Linked DNA regions of Macaca mulatta. The protein of the gene in region 5 interacts with the protein of the main gene of each other region in a biochemical or structural test. Links are inferred from orthologs where the notes say so. Each region holds a gene or a part of one and is shown on either strand. Other genes may lie near its edges.

Evidence for each region.
Region 1: the proteins of PDZK1 (region 5) and CYSLTR2 interact in a test that uses a peptide from one of them, tested with the Homo sapiens proteins (2 studies listed by IntAct, with this or other methods). The link is inferred for Macaca mulatta from reciprocal best matches to the Homo sapiens genes PDZK1 and CYSLTR2.
Region 2: the proteins of PDZK1 (region 5) and SLC22A12 form a complex in vitro, tested with the Homo sapiens proteins (2 studies listed by BioGRID and IntAct, with this or other methods). The link is inferred for Macaca mulatta from reciprocal best matches to the Homo sapiens genes PDZK1 and SLC22A12.
Region 3: the proteins of PDZK1 (region 5) and CRHR1 form a complex in vitro, tested with the Homo sapiens proteins (2 studies listed by BioGRID and IntAct, with this or other methods). The link is inferred for Macaca mulatta from reciprocal best matches to the Homo sapiens genes PDZK1 and CRHR1.
Region 4: the proteins of PDZK1 (region 5) and RPS6KA1 interact in a test that uses a peptide from one of them, tested with the Homo sapiens proteins (2 studies listed by BioGRID and IntAct). The link is inferred for Macaca mulatta from reciprocal best matches to the Homo sapiens genes PDZK1 and RPS6KA1.
Region 6: the proteins of PDZK1 (region 5) and SDK2 interact in a test that uses a peptide from one of them, tested with the Homo sapiens proteins (2 studies listed by IntAct, with this or other methods). The link is inferred for Macaca mulatta from reciprocal best matches to the Homo sapiens genes PDZK1 and SDK2.

The regions. Positions count from the first base shown.
Region 1 is NC_133422.1:27,853,390-27,857,650, forward strand, and holds the start of CYSLTR2 (cysteinyl leukotriene receptor 2), read left to right. Parts: upstream 1-1,461; 5' UTR 1,462-1,648; intron 1,649-4,261. UniProt on the Homo sapiens protein: Receptor for cysteinyl leukotrienes. The response is mediated via a G-protein that activates a phosphatidylinositol-calcium second messenger system.
Region 2 is NC_133419.1:9,804,191-9,808,387, reverse strand, and holds the start of SLC22A12 (solute carrier family 22 member 12), read left to right. Parts: upstream 1-1,397; coding exon 1,398-1,799; intron 1,800-1,874; exon of another isoform or gene 1,875-2,175; intron 2,176-2,620; coding exon 2,621-2,724; exon of another isoform or gene 2,725-2,838; intron 2,839-3,207; exon of another isoform or gene 3,208-3,242; coding exon 3,243-3,397; intron 3,398-3,472; coding exon 3,473-3,641; intron 3,642-4,197. UniProt on the Homo sapiens protein: Electroneutral antiporter that translocates urate across the apical membrane of proximal tubular cells in exchange for monovalent organic or inorganic anions. Involved in renal reabsorption of urate and helps maintaining blood levels of uric acid.
Region 3 is NC_133421.1:70,692,705-70,696,672, forward strand, and holds the start of CRHR1 (corticotropin-releasing factor receptor 1), read left to right. Parts: upstream 1-1,168; 5' UTR 1,169-1,385; coding exon 1,386-1,418; intron 1,419-3,968.
Region 4 is NC_133406.1:214,424,455-214,427,954, reverse strand, and holds part of RPS6KA1 (ribosomal protein S6 kinase alpha-1), read left to right. Parts: intron 1-196; coding exon 197-355; intron 356-3,500. UniProt on the Homo sapiens protein: Serine/threonine-protein kinase that acts downstream of ERK (MAPK1/ERK2 and MAPK3/ERK1) signaling and mediates mitogenic and stress-induced activation of the transcription factors CREB1, ETV1/ER81 and NR4A1/NUR77, regulates translation through RPS6 and EIF4B phosphorylation, and mediates cellular proliferation, survival, and differentiation by modulating mTOR signaling and repressing pro-apoptotic function of BAD and DAPK1.
Region 5 is NC_133406.1:119,618,036-119,621,535, forward strand, and holds part of PDZK1 (Na(+)/H(+) exchange regulatory cofactor NHE-RF3), read left to right. Parts: intron 1-420; coding exon 421-670; intron 671-3,500. UniProt on the Homo sapiens protein: A scaffold protein that connects plasma membrane proteins and regulatory components, regulating their surface expression in epithelial cells apical domains.
Region 6 is NC_133421.1:83,093,308-83,096,807, reverse strand, and holds part of SDK2 (protein sidekick-2), read left to right. Parts: intron 1-900; coding exon 901-1,095; intron 1,096-2,686; coding exon 2,687-2,803; intron 2,804-3,500.

The DNA.
Region 1 (4,261 bases), on a different chromosome or scaffold from region 5:
CATGCAGTATTTATCTTACTATGCCTGGCTTACTTCACTTAACATAATGTCTTCCAAGCTCATCCATGTTGCCACAAATGACAAAATTTTGTTCTTTTTAAATCAATAAATAGTATTCAATTGTGAATATATACATTTTTCATCCATCTTTCTGTTGATGAACATTTAGGGTGATCCATATTTTGGCTATTGTGAATAGTGCTACAGTAAACATGAGAGTGCAGAGATCTCAACAAGATTCAGTAACCCTACTACTGAGTATATATCCAAAGTATTTTATTCGTTTTGATGCTATTCTAAATGGAATCGTTTCCTTAGTTTCCATTTTTGGTTGTTTATTGTTAGTATATATAAATGCAACTGATTTTTGTGTATTGATTTCCTATCCTGCAACTTTGCTGAATTTGCTTATTAGTTCTATTGGGGTTTTGTGTGTGTGTGTGTGTGTGTGTGTATGGAATCTTCAGGTTTTCCTACGTATAAAATTTTATCATTTGCAGACAGATATAATTTTACTTATTTATTTCCAATTTGGATCCCTTTTATGTATTTTTCTTGCTTAATGTTACTGCAGCTTTCTATCCAGGAAATGAGGATTTGAACAGTGATGGGGAGGTCAGCAATGGTTGGATTTGGGACATATTTTATGGGCAGAACAAATGGAACTTGTTGGCTCAGAAGTGGGTGGTGGAAGAAAGAGAGAAGTTAAAAGTGACTTCTAGGTTTATGGATGGACTAAATTATTGTGGTGCCACTGTTTAGACAGGGTAGATGGGGGGATGCAGGACTAAGAGGGGAAGAGAAAAGGTCCATCTGGGTCACATTAAATTTGGCCATGATTGTGCATCAGATAGATAAGAGCAAGAGAAGGAGGGAAGAAGTCAGAACACAGACCTCTGGGGAAAGCTCACATGTAGAAAAGGGATGGAAGAAGAGGCATCAGAAAGAGAGGCAAAGAAGAGCAATCTGAGGGGGAGAAAAAGAACCAGGAAAGTCAGAGAAACAAGGAAGAAGTTTCAGGAAAGTGGTAGTGGTCAACTATGCAAACAAGACGGGAAGGAAGGTGAGGACTGAGAAAGGATTTTTTATGTGAGCAACAAGGTTATTGGTAACCTCTGACAGAACATTTTCAGCAGAGTGGATAAGGTCTCTGCTGGAGTGCAAGTGAATTGAAAATATAAGTGAGTGAGGGAAGTGCTTTAAACAAATCTAAAGTGCTGTGTGTGTAAGGCAGTGTTGCTATTTCTGTTGCCATGGAAACAGAAACCTTTCAGGAGAACTAAAAGCCACTTAAAATCCCTGACTCTAACCCATTATATCCGCTTGTTCTCTTGAGAAAGATAATGACAAAAACCAGTCATTAGAGGGGCAGGGCAATTTTAGGTTTCTTCTTTTTAGATGTAGCCCTTAACTGGAAATCTTCCCCCTTCTTGAGAAGAGATCTTGCACTGACATCTATACTGGCTTCTAAAAAGCACAGATGACCTGCTACACTTCCTGACTTTCTTGCTATTGGTTGGCACTGTTCATAAATATAATTTGCTGTTTCCCTTTTCTTTTAAATGAGCAATCCGAATTACTTGGAGGAGAAAGGCAGAAGAGATAGAGGCAGCAGAAGCCAGGGCAGCTGAAAGACAGAGAACTTCAGGTGGGCATTTTAATCTTTGTTTTGTTAATTCAGTGTTGAGAATCATGACTTGAAGATCACGTAATAGAGGAGTAATTTTTGAAAAGTAAATTTGTTTTGTTCTACTATAAATATTATTTTCCTATCATGTACATGGTAGTTTAAAAAATACTGTGAAAGTACAAAAATGTTAAAGGAAGCCAAATTCTCCACCAAGATAGCCTCTATTGATATTTTGGGGGTTTTCCGTGTGTGTGTGTGTGTATGTGTGTGTGTGTGTGCGTGTTTGTGAATGTGTATATGCACATATAACTTTAGTTTTCATAGTTGCGTCCCTGCACTATGGACACGTTTATATTCATTTCCTGCATTTCAGTCTATGGTTTTTCCATGTTGCTGTGAATTCTTTGTAATCATAAATTAAAGCTGCTGCATAATATTGCATTGAGGAACTTTACTTCCTCCATTTTTAGCTGTATAGCAGTTATCCTATTTTTCATAGTTTGGGTCCTTTTATTATATAAGATATATTTTTTTCATTCAGGGTCTTGTTTTAGAGGTAGAAGAAGTTGAATCTGAGCACATATGTTTCAATGGTTTTGCTTAGAGGCACAATGAGAGTGAAAGAGTATGTGAGATCATGAGCATATAATCTGTTCCTTACCCCACTGGGACCCTAACCAGTGTTTCTCAACTCTGGCTGCACATCAAGCCAGAATCACCTGACTCTGAGGAGATTAGAAAATTACCCCTAGAATAATTGAAGCTTAACTTTTAGAGATCAGCAAGTCATCTGCAGTATTTTGTCTTGTTTTCCAGAAACTTCTCAGGTGATTCTAATAGGTGGTCGGCATAAAAACAGATGACCTACGTCATTCAAAATATTTTTCTGTCTCTGACATATACCTGAGAGTAATATGTATTAGGAGAAAGGAAGGTATAATTTCAGGCAATCCAATCAAATCTCCCTTTCAACACTACATACATAATGCAAATTATAGAATAATTTGGGGGGAAACATAAGACTTCTAGAAATTTCTATCTACCTCAGCCACATAAACTCTTGAGATGAGAATCTACTTGTGTTTCGATTTACTAATGTTTTAAAGAGGTGGATTTGTTTCCAGTGCTTCGATGGTTAAAAGTTAGAGAAGTTGAGGCTGTCGTATGTTCTGAATGTACCTGAATCACGCCCATATCTGCTAGAATCTGCCAAGGCAGCCAGGCTTCCTTTCTTTTGCAATCTTCAAGATTAAACACAAGGTGGGCATTTAATAGCTGGCCAGTCACTAACACACTGTGGGCACAGTGAAGATCGATGGCATTGGATTTGGAGGCAGAAGGTGGCTCACTCTGGCTTTCAGGAGCCCCATAGACATGGCACTTACCTTCTCTGGACCTCATGTCCTCAGGAGGAAAGTGGACAGAGTTTATGCCAGGGCTGCGTTCTGGTTTCTCCCATTGGGGACTGAAAACAGAGCCAGAGCCCCTAAACCACGTTGAAGCATTTGCTGTTGCACTCCTAGCCTGCTGCAGGCCAGGAATCATGCCAACGAGACCAACAGCATGTTAATCAAATTTCTTCTTGTTTTGACTCAGTGGAGAACACCTGTTTAGTACCTTCATTAATGAATGTAAACATTCACATAGTACTTTACAAAACACGTTTACATGCATCAGTTCATTTGATCCACATACTAGCCTTAAGAACTGGAGTAATTCTTATTTTAAAGATGGTAAAGATGAGACCGAGAGAACATAGGATCTTTTCCAGGTGGAACCAGAACTGGTCCAATCTGGTTTAGCCCAGGGCACATGGTCCATTCTTACAACTTAAATAATAGCTATTGTGGGAAATTGGTTAAACATATTTCATAATGTTTATATAATTGGTTATTCTGTAGCCAGTTAGATGATGACATTGATGTTGTTATTTGGCAAAGAAAGGTGATCATGGCATGGAAATAAGAAAAAAGCAAGATATAAAACAGTATTATAAATGCGCTTATTTTTGTTTAAAAATATTTGTATATATTTCAAGAAAGATGAAAAAAAGCATATATGTGAAATTTTAGATATGTCTGGTTGGTGGTAAAGTTCATAATTTAAGTTTATTTCAGCTTGTATTACATTGTAATTTTTCTTTACCATGAACATGTACTACTTGTGTAATAAAAATAAAGGAAAGTAAATAGAATTGTTCATGTCTTTCTGGTTGGCTCTTCTCCGGATGAAATGGCCCCATCTTTTACTTGGCCGTAAAGAAGGCTGCTATTTAATTCTCTGAGTTTTGTACATTATTGTCACAAATTTTATTGTGATTGTCAGCTAGTACTGACTGAATTCTTCGTGTGTGTTGGGCACCAAGTTAATCACTTCACATCCATTTTTTTTTCATCAGTACTCACTCCAGTGCTCCTTTGGCAGAGGAGAGTTTGAAGCTCAGAGGGCTGCAGTAATAAAAGAGACTAAAAGGCAGAGTTGAAACTTAAACCCAGGACCCTTTTAACTCAAAAGCACATGGTTTCATTCATTATATCACTCTGCCTCCCATCCACCTGGGATCACATGAGCAGCCTCCGTTTTGGAGGAAAGATGCTATATTTTTTCAGTGTACTACTCATTGCTGTGTAC
Region 2 (4,197 bases), on a different chromosome or scaffold from region 5:
CAGGCATGAGCTACCACACCCAGCCACACACACACACTTTTTAACTGCTTTGTGTTTTCTGGCCCTTTCGCCTAGAGAATTAGCTATCAAGACCAAGGGGGTTCTCTTGGCTTCGGTCCAGACTTTCCTGAACCCCACACCCTGCACCGGCACACACTGCTGCCCGCCCCCCTGCCCTGGTAAGGCACCACTAGCTATTGTTGCCTGGGAGCCCCTTGACTTTTAAGCAGGATTTGACCCAAGGGTTTGCAGTGCGGGGTGGGTCCAGGGACAGGAGTTGAGGCAGAAAGACAAGGGCAAGGACAGCTGTGGAGTTGGGGAGGTGGGAGAGAGACATCCTTAGGAGGCAAAACTAGCCAGGCTTGGCCTGTTGTGAGTTTGGGAGGCAGAGAGCAGGAGGCATGAACCAAGACGCTGGGTTCCAGGCCAGGGACCGTGACATGGGAGGCCATAGCTGAGGTGGGGCTCTGCAGGAGGCGTAGATTTGGGGAGGGGACAGAGATCTCAGGGAGGCATTGGGCACACTGAACTTGGGGAGTCTGTGGGGTGTCTGTTGATGCTGGGAAGCTCCACCGAGGGCTCAGGACAGGGTAACAGCAAAGGGGGAACAGGACGCCAACCATAGCAGGTGAGTGGAGGCAGGAGCCACGGGTGGAGCCATGGGCAAGGCCAGGCCGCACAGCCTGGGAGGCGCAGGGGCTGGGCAGCTGCCAGTGACCCAAGCCCACACAGAGACCTGCACAGCTGCCCCAGCCCCAAGTTAGGGGGATCTGCGGGCCCGCCTTCTTTTGGCTCAGCCACTCTGGGAGGTAGGCACGCAGGGGCACCGAAGGGGGCAGGCAGCCCTGGCATCCCACAGCCGCCAGGAGGAGAACTTAGGCCTTCCCAAGACCTGGCAAAGAGCGGGCTGGCCCTGGCCCCCGAGCGAAGGAGGCTGCATCTCCCTCACATCTGCGCCTCCCTCAACGCGGGTTAAACTTTGACCAAGGAAATGATTGCTAAACTCGATTCCGTAAGTGTCACCAGTCACACTTTAATTCCAGTCTAGAATTAAAGTCTTCAGTCTCCACATTTCCTACTTTCCAAATTCAGCTTTTCCGGGAGGTCTGGAGCAGCTGCCTCTCTGGGGAGATGCTGGAGGTCTCGGAATCACCTCACGCAGCCTCAGGGTCCGGTTGGAGCCACTCCAAGTGACACCAGCAGGCAGATGACCAGACAGCCTGAGCCCCCAGCCCCGAGTCTGTGAAGCCAGCAGCCACTGACATGCTCCCAGCCGCCGGGCTGGAGAAGCCACTGTGGGCACCACCGTGGAGGAAACAGGCCCGTGGCCCTGGCCCCTTTGCCTTGGGCCAGCCCTTGTGAAGTGGGCCCTCTTCTGGGCCCCTTGAGTAGGTTCCATGGCATTTTCTGAACTCCTGGACCTCGTGGGTGGCCTGGGCAGGTTCCAGGTTCTCCAGACAGTGGCTCTGATGGTCTCCATCATGTGGCTGAGTACCCAGAGCATGCTGGAGAACTTCTCAGCCGCTGTGCCCAGCCACCGCTGCTGGGTACCCCTCCTGGACAACAGCACGGCTCAGGCCGGCGTCCCAGGGGGCCTGACTCCCAAGGCCCTCCTGGCTGTCTCCATCCCACCGGGCCCCAACCAGGGGCCCCACCAATGCCGCCGCTTCCGCCAGCCACAGTGGCAGATCTTGGACCCCAATGCCACGGCCACCAGCTGGAGCGAGGCCGACACAGAGCCGTGTGTGGACGGCTGGGTCTATGACCGCAGCATCTTCACCTCCACCATCGTGGCCAAGGTAGGGCCTCCCCCAGAGCCACTCGAGTCCTGCCACCTTGGAGGTCAGAGTCATGGATCACGGTGGCTCAGACTCAAAGGTCCAGTCCTGGGAGGGACCAACCTCCTCAGGCCCTGCTCACTCTCGAGCCTCTCAGCTCCTCGTCAGCCACACACAGGGGATTGGGCGGCAGGGATCAGTCTACAGATGGAGCCAGCCCAGGCTCTTGGAGGTGCAGGGGGCACCTGGGCGGGCGCCTCTAAATGCTGGCACCTGGACACTCACTGGCCTCACCCAGACTCGGCCCTGCTGACCCATCAGCTGTGACTCCAGGCAACGTAGCCACAGGGGGACTCAGTGACCATTCACTGGATTCCCCAAGACCAAAGCACACAGGGTAAGGGACCACCCCAGGCTGCCTCCCAGATGGGGCGCCAGGCAAGGCCAGGCAAGCAGACAGGGGCGGCTCGTCCCAACAAGCGGGAAGAACCTCTTTACAAAGAACAGGAGGGACGCAGCCTCCGGGAGAGCGGCCAGGGTGTCAGTTTGGGTGGCTGCTTCCAACTGGACAGACAGGAGACGGGGCAGATGTGGCTAGAAACCCATTGGGCAATAGGGAGCCAGGGAGGAGTTTAGGCAAAGGGTGGCAGGATATACTCCTCAGAAGACCAAACTGTGCCTGTGGGTGCCCTCACTGTTCCACAGGGTCTTGCTCTAAAGCCCTAGAGGTCACCAGGCCACCCACCCCACCCAGCTCCCTGGGGGCCCTCCCATACAGTTCCTCTGCCCCTCCGCACGGGCTCTCCCAGCCTCCTGAGCTCATTCTTCTCCTCTCCCCTTAGTGGAACCTGGTGTGTGACTCTCATGCCCTGAAGCCCATGGCCCAGTCCATCTACCTGGCTGGGATTCTGGTGGGAGCTGCTGCGTGCGGCCCTGCCTCAGACAGGTGAGTACCCCCAGTCCAGGAAGGTCCCAGTTCCCCTCACGACCCCGCTCTCCTAGGCCCCTGGCCGACTGGCCCCAAACCAGCCTCAACAAACCAAGTCTAGACGCCCTCCTTGTTGGAGGTGGGTCTCGGACCAGCCACCCTGCAGCTGTGCCATGTAGGGAGGTCTGGAACCTTCTCTGAGCCTCAAGTTCACTGACTTTATTCTGGGGGTTGTAGAGGATTGCTACTCCCCAGCAAACATTCACTGCTAAAACTGGCTTGGCCACACGCCTGCCTTCAGCTGTGACCTGAGTGCTCCTGGTGACCGGAGCCCATTCCCTTTGGCTCCAGCCTCGGGACTCTCTTTGTGCTCCAGAGTCTTCCATGGGTGGAGAATGCAGGTTTCACCCAGGTGCCGCTTCAGTGTCCGCCTCAGCTCAGCGGCCAAGCAGAGGGTGGGCTCTCTGTGGTCCAGATCCCCGTGGCCAGTGCCATGGCCAGTCACAGACCCTGCCTCTTCCTGGTTTGTGCCGCAGGTTCGGGCGCAGGCTGGTGCTAACCTGGAGCTACCTTCAGATGGCTGTAATGGGCACGGCAGCTGCCTTCGCCCCCACCTTCCCCGTGTACTGCCTGTTCCGCTTCCTGTTGGCCTTTGCCGTAGCAGGTGTCATGATGAACACGGGCACTCTCTGTAGGTCTCTGACCTGGTGCCGTGCAGGGGGGCTCCATGCAGGCTCCAGGGCTGAACCACTCGGTCTCCTTGCAGTGATGGAGTGGACGGCGGCGCAGGCCCGACCTTTGGTGATGACCCTGAACTCTCTGGGCTTCAGCTTCGGCCATGGTCTGACGGCCGCAGTGGCCTACGGTGTGCGGGACTGGACACTGCTGCAGCTGGTGGTCTCGGTCCCCTTCTTCCTCTGCTTTTTGTACTCATGGTGGGTGCTGTGCTCCACTTCCCTCCTCAGAGGAGATCCTGCCCACTCTCCACCCGGGGGAATGGGAGACTCTCCTATCCCTGGGGGCTGGGGAGTGCTAGAGGCCAGGGGTGCACGGGCTGGAGGAAAGCCAGGAGCCTGGCAGAGTGGACCACCCACAAGCCCAAGACACCCACTTCAACCAGGGCTTGGGTCCCCAGGGTGCCTCCCCTGCTCCTCCCAAGTGCTCCTTCTCCTACTCATTCTTCTCCTTTCCTCCCTCCTTCTCCTCATCTCTTGGCCTGTTCCCCTCTCCTGTCTCTGCCTGCCTTGGCATCTGTGCTGCCAGGCCCATCTTCTGAGCCCCTCTGTGCCAGGCATGGCAGCACTGAACTAGGCTAGGGTTGCGGGTGGAAAGATACAACACATGCCCGCACATACAGCACACAGCTGCAGTCTGCCTCATGGGTTGACAGAATCAATGCATGTGTCTGTCTGCTAGAGAACAGGGACCAGGACCCACTCATCAGAGGGGACTCCACAGTCCCCAAAGAGAGCCGGCATGTGTAGGAAGTTA
Region 3 (3,968 bases), on a different chromosome or scaffold from region 5:
TTGCTGGCGGAGTGAATTTTTCTCTACCTCCCAGTGACTCCTCTTCTCCTATTCTCCCTTTTCAGCTCTGGTAGGAGAGAGGAAGAGCGAAGAGGAAGTCAAAAGTTCTGTTCATCAGGAAGGGCTGGGAGTTCCTTCCTGGGATGGGGAGCTCCGGAGCCAATCCAAAAGACGGCCCCGGGGTCTGGCGGGGAGGCCCACCGCTGCCCTGAGGGCTCGGCCGGGAGGGGGCGCTGTGTCCTCCCCACGCCCTGCCCGCGGGCTCCTAGCGGCGTTCGCCGTGCTGCAGCGCAATGCGCGCCCGGCTTTCCCCTGGGCAGCGTTCAGTGCCCGCTTGTCCTGCAGGGCACCGCCGTCTCCCTTTCATCTTGGGGCTCCCAGGTCCAAAGGGTTCCCAGATCCAGCCTCTTGCCTGAACCAAAGTGGCCAGGCACTCAGTTTGTAAGATGAACGAATGAAGGAAGAAACCAAGGAATGAATAAGGGCTCATCCTGCAGAGCGTTCGCGTCTCAGCGCGCACCAGGCACATCAGTGCCAAAGGTGCTGGGGGTCGGGCCCAGCTCCCGGCGCGGCTGGAATGGGGGCGGCGAGGAGCTCCTCCTAGCCAGCCGCAGGGCGGGAACTGCCCAAACGCAGGTCGCAGCTTCACCCGGTTCCGCGGCGGCTCCGCTCAGTAGGGACCGCCCTGTTCTCTAGCCCCCAGTAGCCTCGCCCTCATAAATTCACCTGAGCACCCCTGCCCAAGTCCCCCTAGAATCCTTGGACTTCCCAGGCCCCGACCTCGGCCGGGCGGAAGGCTGACCCTCTACCGCGGCCCCCTTCCCCCATCCCCGGCTTCTCCCCGGGCTGCGGCGGCCGCCACCGCTGCCAGCGCGCCCCGAGGACTGCCGCAAACGCGGGCGCAAGGAAAGGGGATCCTGGCGGCGGGGCGCAGGGAGCTGGCCGGGGGAAGGGGAGGGAACCGAGGAGGCGAGGAGCGGGGAGGGAGCCGAGGGGCGAGGCGCGGAGGAGGGACCGAAGGGGAGCGGAGGGGAGAGGGAGGGGGAGGAAGGGGAGGGGACGAGCTGGGCGAGGGGGCGGGGAGCCGAGGCAAGGAGCGGCGCGGACCGTGGGGGAGGCGGCGGGGGCGAGGCCGGCAAGAGGCGGCCGCGGGCCAGGCTGAGTCGGGAAACGGCGGCCAGACTTCCCCGGGAAGGGGCGAGCGAGAGCCGGGCCAGGCCGGGCCGCGGGGCCGGGGAGCGCCGAGCCGGGCACCTCCGCACCAGGCACCGACCGAGGAGCCCGGCCGCCCACCCCGTGCCGCCCGAGCCCACAGCCGCCCGCCGGCCCCTCTGGGATGTCCGCGGGACCCGGGCATTCAGGACGGTAGCCAAGCGAGCCCGAGGATGGCACGGCATCCACAGCTCCGGCTCGTTAAGGTAAGAGCCCGCCGGCCAGTCCTCGAGCGCTGGCGTCCCGGGCCCCTGGCGGACGCGGGACGGGGCTGGGCTGTGAGTGCGATGGGGGCGGGGGCGCTGGGAGAGCCGTGCTCAGGTCCCGGAAGGCTGGGCTCCGGGGCAGCCTAACTCTCGGGACCTTTGGAGCCAGGGTTGGGTAGGCAGGGGGAGACTCAGGTGAGACAAGAAATCGTGGCGAAGCCGCCGGAATGTTGGCGGAGGAGGGGGTCCGCCCACCCGGGTAGCCGGCTCCGCGCCAAGAATCGCTCCAGGCTTTGGGGCAGACGCCTAGGGGAGGGGAGGTTCCACCTCCCACACCCCCCTGCAGACCCCGGCCCTGGGACGGGAGACTCTGAAGCGGGGCTCCCCGCCTCACCCCAGAGCCCCCGCACAGCTCCCCGACTCCGCACGCCCCCGCCCTAGTCCTGGGAGCGCGTCCTGCCCTTTCCCCTCCGCGGCAAGCTGCGAGCCCGGGGAGATGAATGCCGCCCGCGCCTGCGAGCCCTTGATCAATATCGCAGTCTCAGGGGAGGAGACGGTGCCTCCGGCGGCGGTTCCTGTTCCCCCACCGCGGCCGGGAGCGCGACGCTCGCTCTGCAAGCCTGGGCACCCGCGATCTCCGCGCTGCGCGGCCGACCCTGCGACGCGGATCGGGCGCTGGAGTTTAGGAAAGTCGCCAGACCGCACGTCCAGCGTCTGCCCGCTGAAGTTCGTGGGCGGCGGGGGCGGCCCGCGGGTTGTGTGAGCCCGGGAAGGGCTGTGAGGCCGGCAGTCCGGCCCGCCGCCCGTGCCAGGCGTCACTTGCAGCCCCGAGCGCTTTCCAAAGCGTTTTGGTCTTGTAGAGTACAGGCGCGCCCGCTGCAGTCGGCCGGAGAGGCGGGTGGGCCTCTGCGCGGCTGCCGGGAAACCCCGCGCCGCGCCAGTCTGGGCATCGCCTCACCCGGGGCTCGGGACTCCGCAGGGTCCGCTCCAGCCAAACATAGACACCAGCTTGACCCGGCTCAGGGCATTCAGAGCGATTACATTCGAGAGACTTCGGTGGATTTGGGGGAGGGGTGCGGATTGGCGGAATTTCATTTTTCCATCAGTTATTAAACCAACTGGTTTGAGTTAAGCCACCAAGATTTTTAAATGCAGCAGCTGCTGCTTCCTTAGTTGAGACGTTACAAGTTACTTTTCTCTAATCCTGCCCCTCCCCAAATATTTATAAATTGATTCTTAAAATGACCGAGGTTGGTCTCATTGAACCCACATCCCCTCCCTCATCCGGTATCTGAGGGCTAGGGATGAACTCACAGATTATTTTCTGGGCGTTTGAGGTGACAGACAGGTGAGGAAGGTAGAAGAAAAACATCCAGAGAGGTCTAATAGATGGCACTGAATGGTAATATTTTCCAAAAGTCTCGTGTGTACCGAAGCCAGGTCTAAATGCACAAACCAGTTACACCAAATAGTCAGTCTTTTAAATGGATTCAAAGGATTGAACTGTGGGTGTTTTCTTTCTTTCTTTCTTTCTTTTTTTTTTTTCCAGGTTTACACGGAAATAGATCAATGTTCTTTTTCTGGCCTTTCTTAGAATTGTGTGCAAATCTCTGTTTAGAATGATGATGTTTTCCTTTTTAAAAAGTATTTTTATTTCCGTTGCTCCTACTAGATGGTAGGTATTTGCCCTTTATGCCTGGCCTAATAAACTCAGTAGGCATTCAATAAACACCAGATGAATGTGGGGCAGTGAGTGAATGGCCAGCAAATACTGGTTTCAAATGTTGGTTACAATTAAATAGTTGCTTTTCTTCTTTTCTTTATGTAGCATGTACAATTCCCTGAGCATTATTCTAATGTTGCTTATTTGCTTTGCAAATATTAAGTCATTTAGTCCTCCTAACAGCCCTAGGAAGTAGGAATTATTCGTGAGACACGGAGAGGCTAAGTAACTGGTTCAAGGTCACACAACCAGTGAGTAGTCAGAATTCAAACCCAGACACTCTGATAAAAGGCTTTGTTTTGTTTGCTTTTACCAGAAAATATCCTTTTTTTTTTCCTTTTTTTTCTTTTTTCTTTTTTTTGAGACAGGGTCGAACTCTGTTGGTCAGGTTGGAGCGCAATGGTGTGATCATGGCTCACTGAAGCCTCAACTTCCCTAGGCTCTGGTGATCCTCCCACCCCAGCCTCCAGAATAGCTGGGACCACAGGCATGCACCACCACACCCAGCTAATCTTTGTATTTTTTGTAGAGATGGGGTTTCCCCATATTGCCCTGGCTGGTCTCGAACTCCTGGGCTCAAACGATCAGCCAGCCTCAGCCTCCCAAAGTGCTAGGATTACAGGCATGAGCCACTGTGCCTGGCCATTACCAGAAAATATTCTAAGCCACTTAAGTTTCACTGTAGAGCTCAGCCAGATGAGCGCTCAGGTAGTTTTGTCAGCATGAGAGTATGAATCTAGGGGATTTAGGGTTAATCCCAAATCCAGCTCTGTCCCCAACAAGTCAGCCGGGGTTGGGAAAGGGTTCCCTCTGGGGCCTGTATTGTG
Region 4 (3,500 bases), about 95 Mb from region 5:
GGCATTTTCTGAGGACGTTCTTGCCTATCAGGGGACCAGTGTCAGCATCCTCCTTTTGGGGAAGGCGGGGCCACTGAAGAGCAAGCAGAATACCTGCCTAAGGCTCATGTCATTCTTCCCTGCTCTGGGGCGCTGCTGACCAGGGGGCCCAGGCCTGACACTGGGGAGAAGAGCCTGATGGTGAGGTCTTCGGCAGGTGTACGATGATGGCAAACACGTGTACCTGGTGACAGAGCTGATGCGGGGTGGCGAGCTGCTGGACAAGATCCTGCGGCAGAAGTTCTTCTCGGAGCGGGAGGCCAGCTTCGTCCTGCACACCATCGGCAAAACTGTGGAGTATCTGCACTCACAGGGGGTGAGTCTGGATTCAGGGAGGCGGTAGGGGGATGCCAAGGGTCATACCATCAGCAGAGCACATGAACCACATGCTGGCCCAGGAATGGCAACCTCCAGCTAGCCAAATTGAGGGAAGACTAGGCTGGGTCGGGGGATGCGTGTAAAGGAGGGAGGGAGAGATGTGGTCAATCGTGAAAGGGAAGGTATGGAAAGTTATTCAGTATCTACTGTGTGCCAGTCACCATGGTAAGGTTTAGCATAAGATGAAGTTTCCAGGCCAGGCGCAGTGGCTCATGCCTGTAATCCCAGCACCTTGGGAGGCCAACGCAGGTGGATCACTTGAGGTCAGGAGTTTGACACCAGCCTGGCCAACATGGTGAAATCCGGTCTCTACTAAAATACAAAAAAATTAGCCGGGTTTGGTGGCGGGCGCCTGTAATCTCAGCTACTTGGGAGGCTGAGGCAGGAGAATGACTTGAACCTGGGAGGTGGAGGTTGCAGTGAGCCAAGATCACACCATCGCACTCCAGCCTGGGCAATAGAGCGAAACTCCATCTAATAAATAAATAAATACATAAATAAGATAAAGTTTCCTTACATTATCTCAATTGGTTTTCACAACACTCTGAGATAGATGCTGTTACTGGTCCCACTTCACAGGTAAGAAGACCAGAGCTCAGAGATGAAAGTTCATTTGCTCAAGATTACATAGCCAGGGAAGAATGGAAGAATTTCAGACTGAAGAATTTAGGTGGGGAGTGGGTTTTGAGTTAGGAAGCAGCAGGGTCACCATGGGGGAGGTGCAAGGCTTCAGGGAGGTGAATTCGACTATGGGTTCAGTTGCTAAGGCAGAGGAAATGGATGCAGGAGGAAATTCTGCTGGAAACGTAGCAGGGAACTACAGAAGAGGTGTAGGTCCAAATGGCAGAGTTTGGCCTTTATTACCGCACAAGGCAGGTGAGCACTAGATGATGGTGAGGTAGGAAAGTTCATTACAGTGGATTAAAGCCCAAAACAGTAGCATTACTTTCTCTCTGCATGAGGTGATGTTTTAGGGTACATCTGATCAGACAACATGGGGGTTAAGAATGTAGGCTCTGGGCCAGGCGCGGTGGCTCACGCCTGTAATCTCAGCACTTTGGGAGGCCGAGGCGGGCGGATCACGAGGTCAGGAGATCAAGACCATCCTGGCTAACACGGTGAAACCCCGTCTCTACTAAAAATACAAAAAATTAGCCGGGCGTGGTGGCGGGCGCCTGTGGTCCCAGCTACTCGGGAGACTGAGGCAGGAGAATGGTGTGAACCCAGGAGGCGGAGCTTGCAGTGAGCCAAGATCGCGCCACTGCACTCCAGCCTGGGCGATAGAGCGATCTCTCGAGGAAAAAAAAAAAAAAAAGAATGCAGGCTCTGAATCCACCTGACTGAGTCCAGGTCTTGGTGTATGAGGTTATTAACTTGTTTTCACATAGTACCCAGTCCATAGACACATTTCCCCTATTGTCCTGTTTTTTTTTTGTTTTTGTTTTTGTTTTTAATTGTTGGAGATGAAGTCTCGCTCTTGTCACCCAGGCTGAAATGCAATGGCATGATCTTGGTTCACTGCAATATCTGCCTCCCAGGTTCAAGTGACTCTCCTGCCTCAGCCTCCCGAGTAGTTAGGATTACAGATGCCTGTCAGAATGCCTGGCTAATTTTTTGTATTTTTAGTAGAAACGGGGTTTCACCATGTTGGCCAGGCTGGTCTCAAACTCCTGACCTCAGGTGGTCCGCCCACCTCGGCCTCCCAAAGTGCTGGGATTACAGGTGTGAGCCACCGCGCCTGGCTCCCTATTGTCCTTTCAAAAATGTCTTTTTTGACTGGTTTATTGAAATTAGAATACCTGGCCGGGTGCGGTGGCTCAAGCCTGTAATCCCAGCACTTTGGGAGGCCGAGACGGGCGGATCACGAGGTCAGGAGATCGAGACCATCCTGGCTAACACGGTGAAACCCCGTCTCTACTAAAAAATACAAAAAACTAGCCGGGCGAGGTGGCGGGCGCCTGTAGTCCCAGCTACTCGGGAGGCTGAGGCAGGAGAATGGCGTGAACCCGGGAGGCGGAGCTTGCAGTGAGCTGAGATCCGGCCACTGCACTCCAGCCTGGGCGGCAGAGCGAGACTCCGTCTCAAAAAAAAAAAAAAAAAAGAAATTAGAATACCTGTAAGTTCCACACATTTCATTCAGTTGGTAAATCTCTCCCCTTTTTTTTTGAGACAGGGTCTTACTCTGTTGCCTAGGCTGGAATGCAGTGACACAATCACAGTTCACTGCAGCCTTGACCTCCTTGGGCTCAAGCGATCCTCCCACTTCAGCCTCCCAAATAGCGGGGACCACAGGCACGCACCACCACACCTGGCTAACTTTGTATTTTTTGTAGAGATGGGGTTTTGCTTTTTTTTTTTTTTTTTTTTGAGACGGAGTCTCGCTGTGTCTCCCAGGCTGGAGTGCAGTGGCGCGATCTCGGCTCACTGCAAGCTCCGCCTCCCGGGTTCACGCCATTCTCCCGCCTCAGCCTCCGAGTAGCTGGGACTACAGGCGCCCGCCACCACGCCCGGCTAATTTTTTGTATTTTTAGTAGAGACGGGGTTTCACCGTGTTAGCCAGGATGGTCTTGATCTCCTGACCTCGTGATCCGCCCGTCTCGGCCTCCCAAAGTGCTGGGATTACAGGCTTGAGCCACCGCGCCCGGCGGGGTTTTGCTTTGTTGCCCAGGCTGGTCTTGAACTCCTGAGCTCAAGTGATTTGCCCACCTTGGCCTCTCAAAGTGCTGGGATTACAGGCGTAAGCCACCTTACCCAGCCTCTTTTCTTTTTTTCAAACTGGAGGAAAATTTGCATACAGTAGATTTCAAGGGTACATTTTGATGAATTTTGTTAAATGTGTACACCCATGTCGCCTCCACAGTGAGACCTCCCTTTTTTATGCCACCGACATGTTGAATATGAGTTCTGTGGAATGGCTCGTGTTCTGAATTTGTCTGTCGGCTGCCTTCTGGATCATTTACATTATTTCTCCATTGTTTATATTTCCTGTAAACTGCAAGTTGCTCTAACATCATTATTAGCTTCGGCTTTTTTGGGGGGATGGGAATGAGGTCCAGATGGTAAGGTTGGGCCGAGCATGGTGG
Region 5 (3,500 bases):
TAACTTAGCTTGCTAACATGTTCATGCAGAGGATATATGGGAGAGTCTGGCCTTACCCTATTCTGCCTGACTCCAAAAGCATGCTCTTTTCCTTACACTGTGCTGTCGCCATGCACTCAGGAGGTACGGTTACAATCCAGGGCAGTGCTCCTCTCTAGAAAGGGACAGTCCTTGTAAGAAGCCTCTGGGCTGGGGTTGGACCATGCTCTATATTCCAGCAGTGCCAGAAGCTCAGCCTAATCTGCACCTGGATCTCGGGAAGGCAGGGATGGAGGTGGCTGAGGAACTACCTGCTTCTACTTGGGTGTCAGGGGTCAACTAGCAGGATCTCCAGGGCCAGATATGGAGCCACATGGTCAGCATTTCCCTCTGGCAGTTGATAGAGGGTTATTAAAGTTATTTTTTCTTCTTCCCTCCTAGGTTGTGGATCTGGTCAGAAAGAGTGGGAATTCAGTGACTTTACTAGTTCTGGATGGGGATTCCTATGAGAAAGCAATGAAAACACAGGTGGACTTGAAAGAGTTGGGTCAAAGTCAGAAGGAGCAAGGTTTGAGTGATAATACACTTTCCCCTGTGATGAATGGAGGCGTGCAAACTTGGACCCAGCCCCGGCTCTGCTACCTCGTGAAGCAGGGAGGCAGCTATGGCTTCTCTCTGAAAACTGTCCAAGGTGAGAATTTTTGGGGGGAGTGGGGGGAGGCAGGGGCAGGGCACAGACAACAGGCTTCCAGAACAAAGATGCTATTGGTTAATGACTTTTCTTCTTTGACTTTTCAGTTGCTTTAGATAGCTTGCAACAGCTTTCCTCCCTCCCTCTCTCTCTCCCTCCCTCCCTGCCCTTTCCCTTGCCTTGCACAGTTGTGCAATTGGGGAGGGACACTGGACAGCAGTGGGGGTGGGGGGCACTGGGCACTCCTGTCCCTGAGTGTTTGTCAGGCTGACACTTGAGGACTCTTTGAGGTCAGGGGGTCAGAGCATTGATGCTTCTAGCCCTCTTAGGGTGAAAATGAAGAGGAGAATGAGGAATAAGAGGCAAGAAAAATGAGAGTCTTCATAATAGCTACTTTTGAGTAAGATTGGTATCTTTTTTAAATCTGGGTGCCCAGATAGTCATTCATTTATTCAACAAAATCTTAAGCACCTACTGATGTGCCAGGCACTGTTACCTTTGCTGAGAATACTGCAAAAATCTCCACCCTCCTGTAACATTTTGATAGTATCCTCAGCTGTGGCTCAGCCCCACCTGTTCTGAGGTGCATCTTTGAGCTCTGGCTAAGAGGTACAGAGTGATTTGAGAAACCCTGACCATCAGGAAGCACTAGAAGTTCTGTTTCTAGAATTTCAGAGGTGCAGACTAACCTGTGTTCAGTTGACCATGGCTCTGGGGGTATTGGTTGGAACCAGAGGGGCTGTGTTAGCTGGCCGGTTCCTTCTTGAACGTTGCCTCTGCCCACATTCTTTCTGGGGCTGGAGAAGCACTGGTGGTAGGTCATGATTTGGCAAGTGGTACAGCAGCAGACCAGTTGGTAAATTCACAATAGTTTATAAGGCTTATTTAACCTGTACCAAGAGATGGAAACTCGCGATAAGGGGCATTTCTCAGGTTGGTCAGCTATTAAACACAGTGGTGTGGGTAGTCAAAGGAAGCTTGGCATGTCTTCGAAGCCTATTATCAGTAAAGTGGTAAAAAAAGAGAAAATCATAATTCAGATTCTACTCATCTGGCTCATGTGCTAACGCACATGGTGAACAGTTTAGGTTAGCTTTATGAGGAAAATGGTTTCTTCATGACAAATATATAACAAGGTGGCAGGAGAAATGCTGAATGTTTAAGGAAGCAGAATTTAAGTTACTGTCATTCCTTACAAGTGATTTATGTAGTCATTACCAAGCGATCCCTTGCCTAGGTTGAAATACAGGAGTTCCCCCTTATCCTGTTTTGCTTTCCATAGTTTCAGTTATCTTACCTGCAGGCAACTGTGGTCTGAAAATATTAAATGGAGAATTCCATACATAATAGTTGCATTGTGAACCATTATGAGTAGGGTAATGAAATCTTGTGCTGTCCTGCCCCATCTTGGAGATGAATCCTCTGTTTGTCTAGCACCTCCGTGTGGTATGTGCTTCCTTGCCTGTTAGTCTTACTACTCACTACTCAGTTATCAGGTCAACTGTTGCGGTATTAAAGTACTGTGTTCAAATAATCCTTATTTTGCTTAATAATGGCCCAGCACAGAAAGAAAAATATCACATGTTCTCATAAGTGGGAGCTAAAAAAGGTGAATCTCACGGAGGTAGAGAGTAGAATGAGAGATACCAGAGGCTGGGAAGAGTGTATGTGGGGTAGGGCAGGGATGAAGAAAGCTAGGTTAATGGGTACAAACACAAAGAGAGAATAAGTTCTAACGTTTGATAGCAAAGTGGGGTGACTATAGTTAACAACAATGTATTGCACATTTCAAAATAGTTGTAAGAAGATTGGAAATATTCTCAACACAAAGAAATGATAAATGTTCAAGGATGGATGTCCTAAATATCATACCATTATTTGTTCATTATATGCTCTTGGTATCAAAACATGACACACACCCTACAAATATGTACAAATGTTATGTATCAATAAAAAACAATAGCCCAGGCCGGGCGCGGTGGCTCACGCCTGTAATCCCAGCACTTTGGGAGGCCGAGGTGGGCGGATCACGAGATCAGGAGATGGAGACCATCCTGGCTAACACGGTGAAACCCTGTCTCTACTAAAAACACAAAAAATTAGCTGGGCACGGTGGCGGGCGCCTGTAGTCCCGGTTACTTGGAGGCTGAGGCAGGAGAATGGCGTGAACCCGGGAGGCGGAGCTTGCAGTGAGCCAAGATTGCGCCACTGCTCTCCAGCCTGGGTGACAAAGTGTGACTCTGTCTCCAAAAAAAAAAAAAAAAAAAGCCCAAAATGCAACAGTTGTGATGCTGGCAGTTCAGATATGACAAAGAGAAGCTGTAATGTGGCCAGGCGTAGTGGCTCATGCCTGTAATACTAGCACTTTGAGAGTCTGAGGCGGACAGATCACTTGAGGTTAGGAGTCAGGAGTTCGAGACCAACCTGGCCAACATAGCAAAACCCCATCTCTACTAAAAATACAAAAATTAGCCAGGTGCAGTGGCAGGCACCTGTAGTTCCAGCTACTTGAGAGACCGAGGCAGGACAATCGCTTAACCGGGGAAGCAGAGGTTGCAGTGAGCCAAGATTGTGCCCCTGGACTCCAGACTAGGTGACAGAACGAGACCCCATCTGTTTAAAAAAAAAAAAAAAAAAAAAAAGGCTGTAAAGTGCTCTTCTATTAAGTGAAAAGTTCTCGATTTAATAAGGAAAGAAAAAATATTGTATGCTGAGGTTGCTAAGATTAGCTCAGTTATTGCGAATCTCTTATTGTGCCTAATTTATAAGTTAAACTATCATAGGTACGTAAGCACAGGAAAAAAAACATACAGGTTTCGGAATACTATCT
Region 6 (3,500 bases), on a different chromosome or scaffold from region 5:
CTCTGTCGCCCAGGCTGGAATGGAGTGGCACGATCTTGGCTCACTGCAACCTCTGCCTCCCAGGTACAAGGAGGCAGCCTCCTGAGTAGCTGGGATTACAGGCATGCACCAGCACACCAGGCTAATTTTTGTATTTTTAATAGAGACAGGGTTTCACCATGTTGGTCAGGTTGGTCTCGAACTCCTGAGCTCAGGTGATCCACCCGCCTCAGCCTCCCAAAGTGCTGGGATTACAGGCATGAGCCACGGCGCCCAGCCTGGCTGGGGAAACTTCTGAAAACGTGCCAGGCTGAGAGTGGGGAGAGGAGCCTCCTTTCACCTCCATGTGCAAAGCCGGTATGGGGGGCTTCCAGGTGCCCCCCAGGGAACACTGGACCCTCTACATGTTCTTCAACACAGGGCGCCATGCGTTTGGGAAAGTATCCCCACTTGGAGGTTCCCAGAGCACACGTGTGTCTGCTAAGTATTGCAATAAAAAATAAGAAATTGGGCCAGGTGCAGCAGCTCACACCTGTCATTCCAGCACTTTGGGAGGCTGAGGTGGGAGGAATGCTTGAAACCAAGAGTTCTAGACCAACCTAGGCAACCTAGCAAGACCCCATCTCTACACAGATAGAAATAAAAAATAAAATAAATAAATTAGTTTGTCCAATCCAGCGTTTCCATGCTAAACTGATCCCAGGATCTTTACTCTATCCCAAAGACTTTGAGAATTGTCACTCTAAGAGCATCTTCCTCCTCTCCCTAGACCCAAAGTGGCACCTCTGAGAAGGTTCTAGACACCAAGATTCACCAGGGACCCCCTCGCAGATTTCCAGGCCTGGCCTCCGCCCAAGCACCCCTCCTAGGCGGAGAGGAGGCAGGAGGCAGGTTGAGAGTGGGTCCACGTCTTGCCCACAGGTGTGCCGCCGCCCTCCATCACCTGGTACAAAGATGCGGCCGTGGTGGAGGTGGAGAAGCTGGCCCGCTTCCGGCAGCGCAGCGACGGGGGCCTGCAGATCAGCGGCCTGGTGCCCGATGACACCGGCATGTTCCAGTGCTTCGCCCGCAATGCAGCCGGCGAGGTGCAAACTTCCACCTACCTGGCTGTCACCAGTAAGTCGGGCCTTCCCTTGTCCTGCCCGTGAGCCCCTCTTCCCAGTACACGGCTTTCCTCCAAGGTCTTCTCAGGGGGCTCTTGAGCACAGCATGCTCCGTGATGCAGAGAGGATCCCCAAGGCTGCCTGCTGCCCAGCAGCCTGGGGCACAGCCAGTTACCCCTGCTGCCTCTGCAGCCCCGAGTCCAGAGCCCTGGAGGAAATCTCCAGTCCCTAGAAGTTCTCTCCAGTGTCCTGGGGCCCAGGTTGGGTTCACGGCTTTTTGAGAAAAGGAGCTATGAAACCAACCATGGGTACCAGCTCTGGCATTTCAACTGCCCCTGGGTTCCCAGGCAGAGCTGAAGTGACCCCATTCCAGAGGACCTGCTCATGTTTCCAAAGAAGAAAACTGGTGCTTTTCTCTTAGTTCTCCTGCTTGCAAATCCCTTTCTGCCCTTGGAGTCTCTGTCGGGTTGTCATAGTTGCCCTGGCCACTTCCCGGAGCTGTTTTAGCAGTCAAAGGTGATACTGTGGGCCGGGTGCAGTGGCTCACACCTGTAATCCCAGGACTTTGGGAGGTCAAGCGGGGTGGATCACTTGAGCCCAGGAGTTTGAGACCAGCCTGAGGAACACAGCGAAACCTCGTCTACCAAAAATGCAAAAAATTAGCCAGGCACGGTGGCATACACCTGTACTCTCAGCTACTTGGGATGCTGAAGTGGGAGGACCACTCAAGTCTAGGAGGCAGAGGTTGCAGTGAGCCAAGATGTCACCACTGCACTCCAGCCTGTGTGACAGAGTGAGACCCTGTCTCAAAAAAAAGCAGATGATACTGTGAGTGGCCCGTAAGCTCAAAGGTCTGTGTAAGTGCAAAGTACTGGTGGGCTCCTCAGGAAACACGGGGATGTTCAGGGGTCTCTTTGAGCTCCATAGTGTTCATCACCCAGACCCACAGAGGCCCCAGACAGGGCAGCTGTGGGGCAGAGAGCTTTTGGGTGTGCCCCAAAGGTGGCTACCAAGGGGCTGCTGTCTTGCTTCTGACTTCCAAGTACAGGTGAACTTAGCTCTGTTCCTGTGTCTGGCGAGCTCCTTCCTTGAGTGCTGGGATGAAGCAAGGGGAGCGCAGAACCAGGAGGCTGCTCCAACCCTAAACAGTGGCCACAGCCAAATGGAGGTCCTGGGGCAGGGCCACTTAGAAAGTGGCCAAGTCCCCCTCTTGACTGTGGCTGTTTTTCTTTTAAGAAGCCAGAGCCTTCCTTTCACTTTTGGCTTGTGAACCCCAATAACCTTGTCAGGGAGGATGTGAACTGCCTTCTGGGGTCTTCAGTTTCCCCCAAATGCAGGCCTGAGAATCCAAGCAGGGTAGGGACTGGTGTCACCTGGGTCCTTCCACAGGGCAGGTGACATAGGGGAGTCCTCATGGCCCCTCTGGGCTTCCTCCCAACACTGGGGCCCCATCAAGATGCCCACATCCTTCCTAGTGGAGGCCCCTGACCATGGGAGGCAGAGGATGAGGGCCTGGCCCTCGGTGGGCTTGGAGGCCCCTGGACCTCTGACTTGGGGGGCCAATCCCAGGGTGTGGCTAAAAGGCCCCAATTCTCTGTTTGCAGGCATCGCCCCTAACATCACCAGAGGCCCCCTGGACAGCACGGTGATTGACGGCATGTCAGTGGTGCTGGCATGTGAGACCTCGGGGGCTCCCCGACCAGCTATCACTTGGCAGAAAGGTAGATGGGACAGACCTTCAGAGTGTGGCTGTGTGACAGCCAGAACTAGGCTCTGGAGCCTGCCAGGATGGGTTCCCCATGTACACTTGTGAAGGTCGTACGCTGTACAGCCCAAGAGAGCATCTCTCGGCCAGGTGTGGTGGCTCATGCCTGTAAACCCAGCACCTTGGGAGGCCGAGGTGGGCAGCTCACCCTGAGGTCAGGAATTCAAGACCAGCCTGGCCCAAAGTGGTGAAACCTCATCTCTACTAAAAATACCAAAATTAGCCGGGCATGGTGGCAGGTGCCTGTAATCCCAGCTACTCAGCGGGGCTGAGATAGGAGAATCGCTTGAACCCAGGAGGCAGAGGTTGCAGTGAGCCGAGATTGTGCCATTGCACTCCAGCTTGGGAGAGAGAGCAAGACTCCATCTCAAAAAAAAAAAAAAAAAACAAAAAAGAGCATCCCTCACATCCCAGCCTTGCCAGGCTCAAGGTCCAGCTCTTCATCTTCCAAGACCTGCCAGCTTGGTGAGCTACTCACTCTGAGCCTCAGGTTCCCCATCTGTAAACTGGTGACAGTACTATATATATACCCCAGGGTAATGTGAAGACTAGACTATAGCGTACACGTGAGGGGCTCACATTGTGCCTGGGAGGCTGGGAAGCCCAGGAAACAACAGGTGCTTGATGATGAATATTATTCTGGTGGTGGCTGC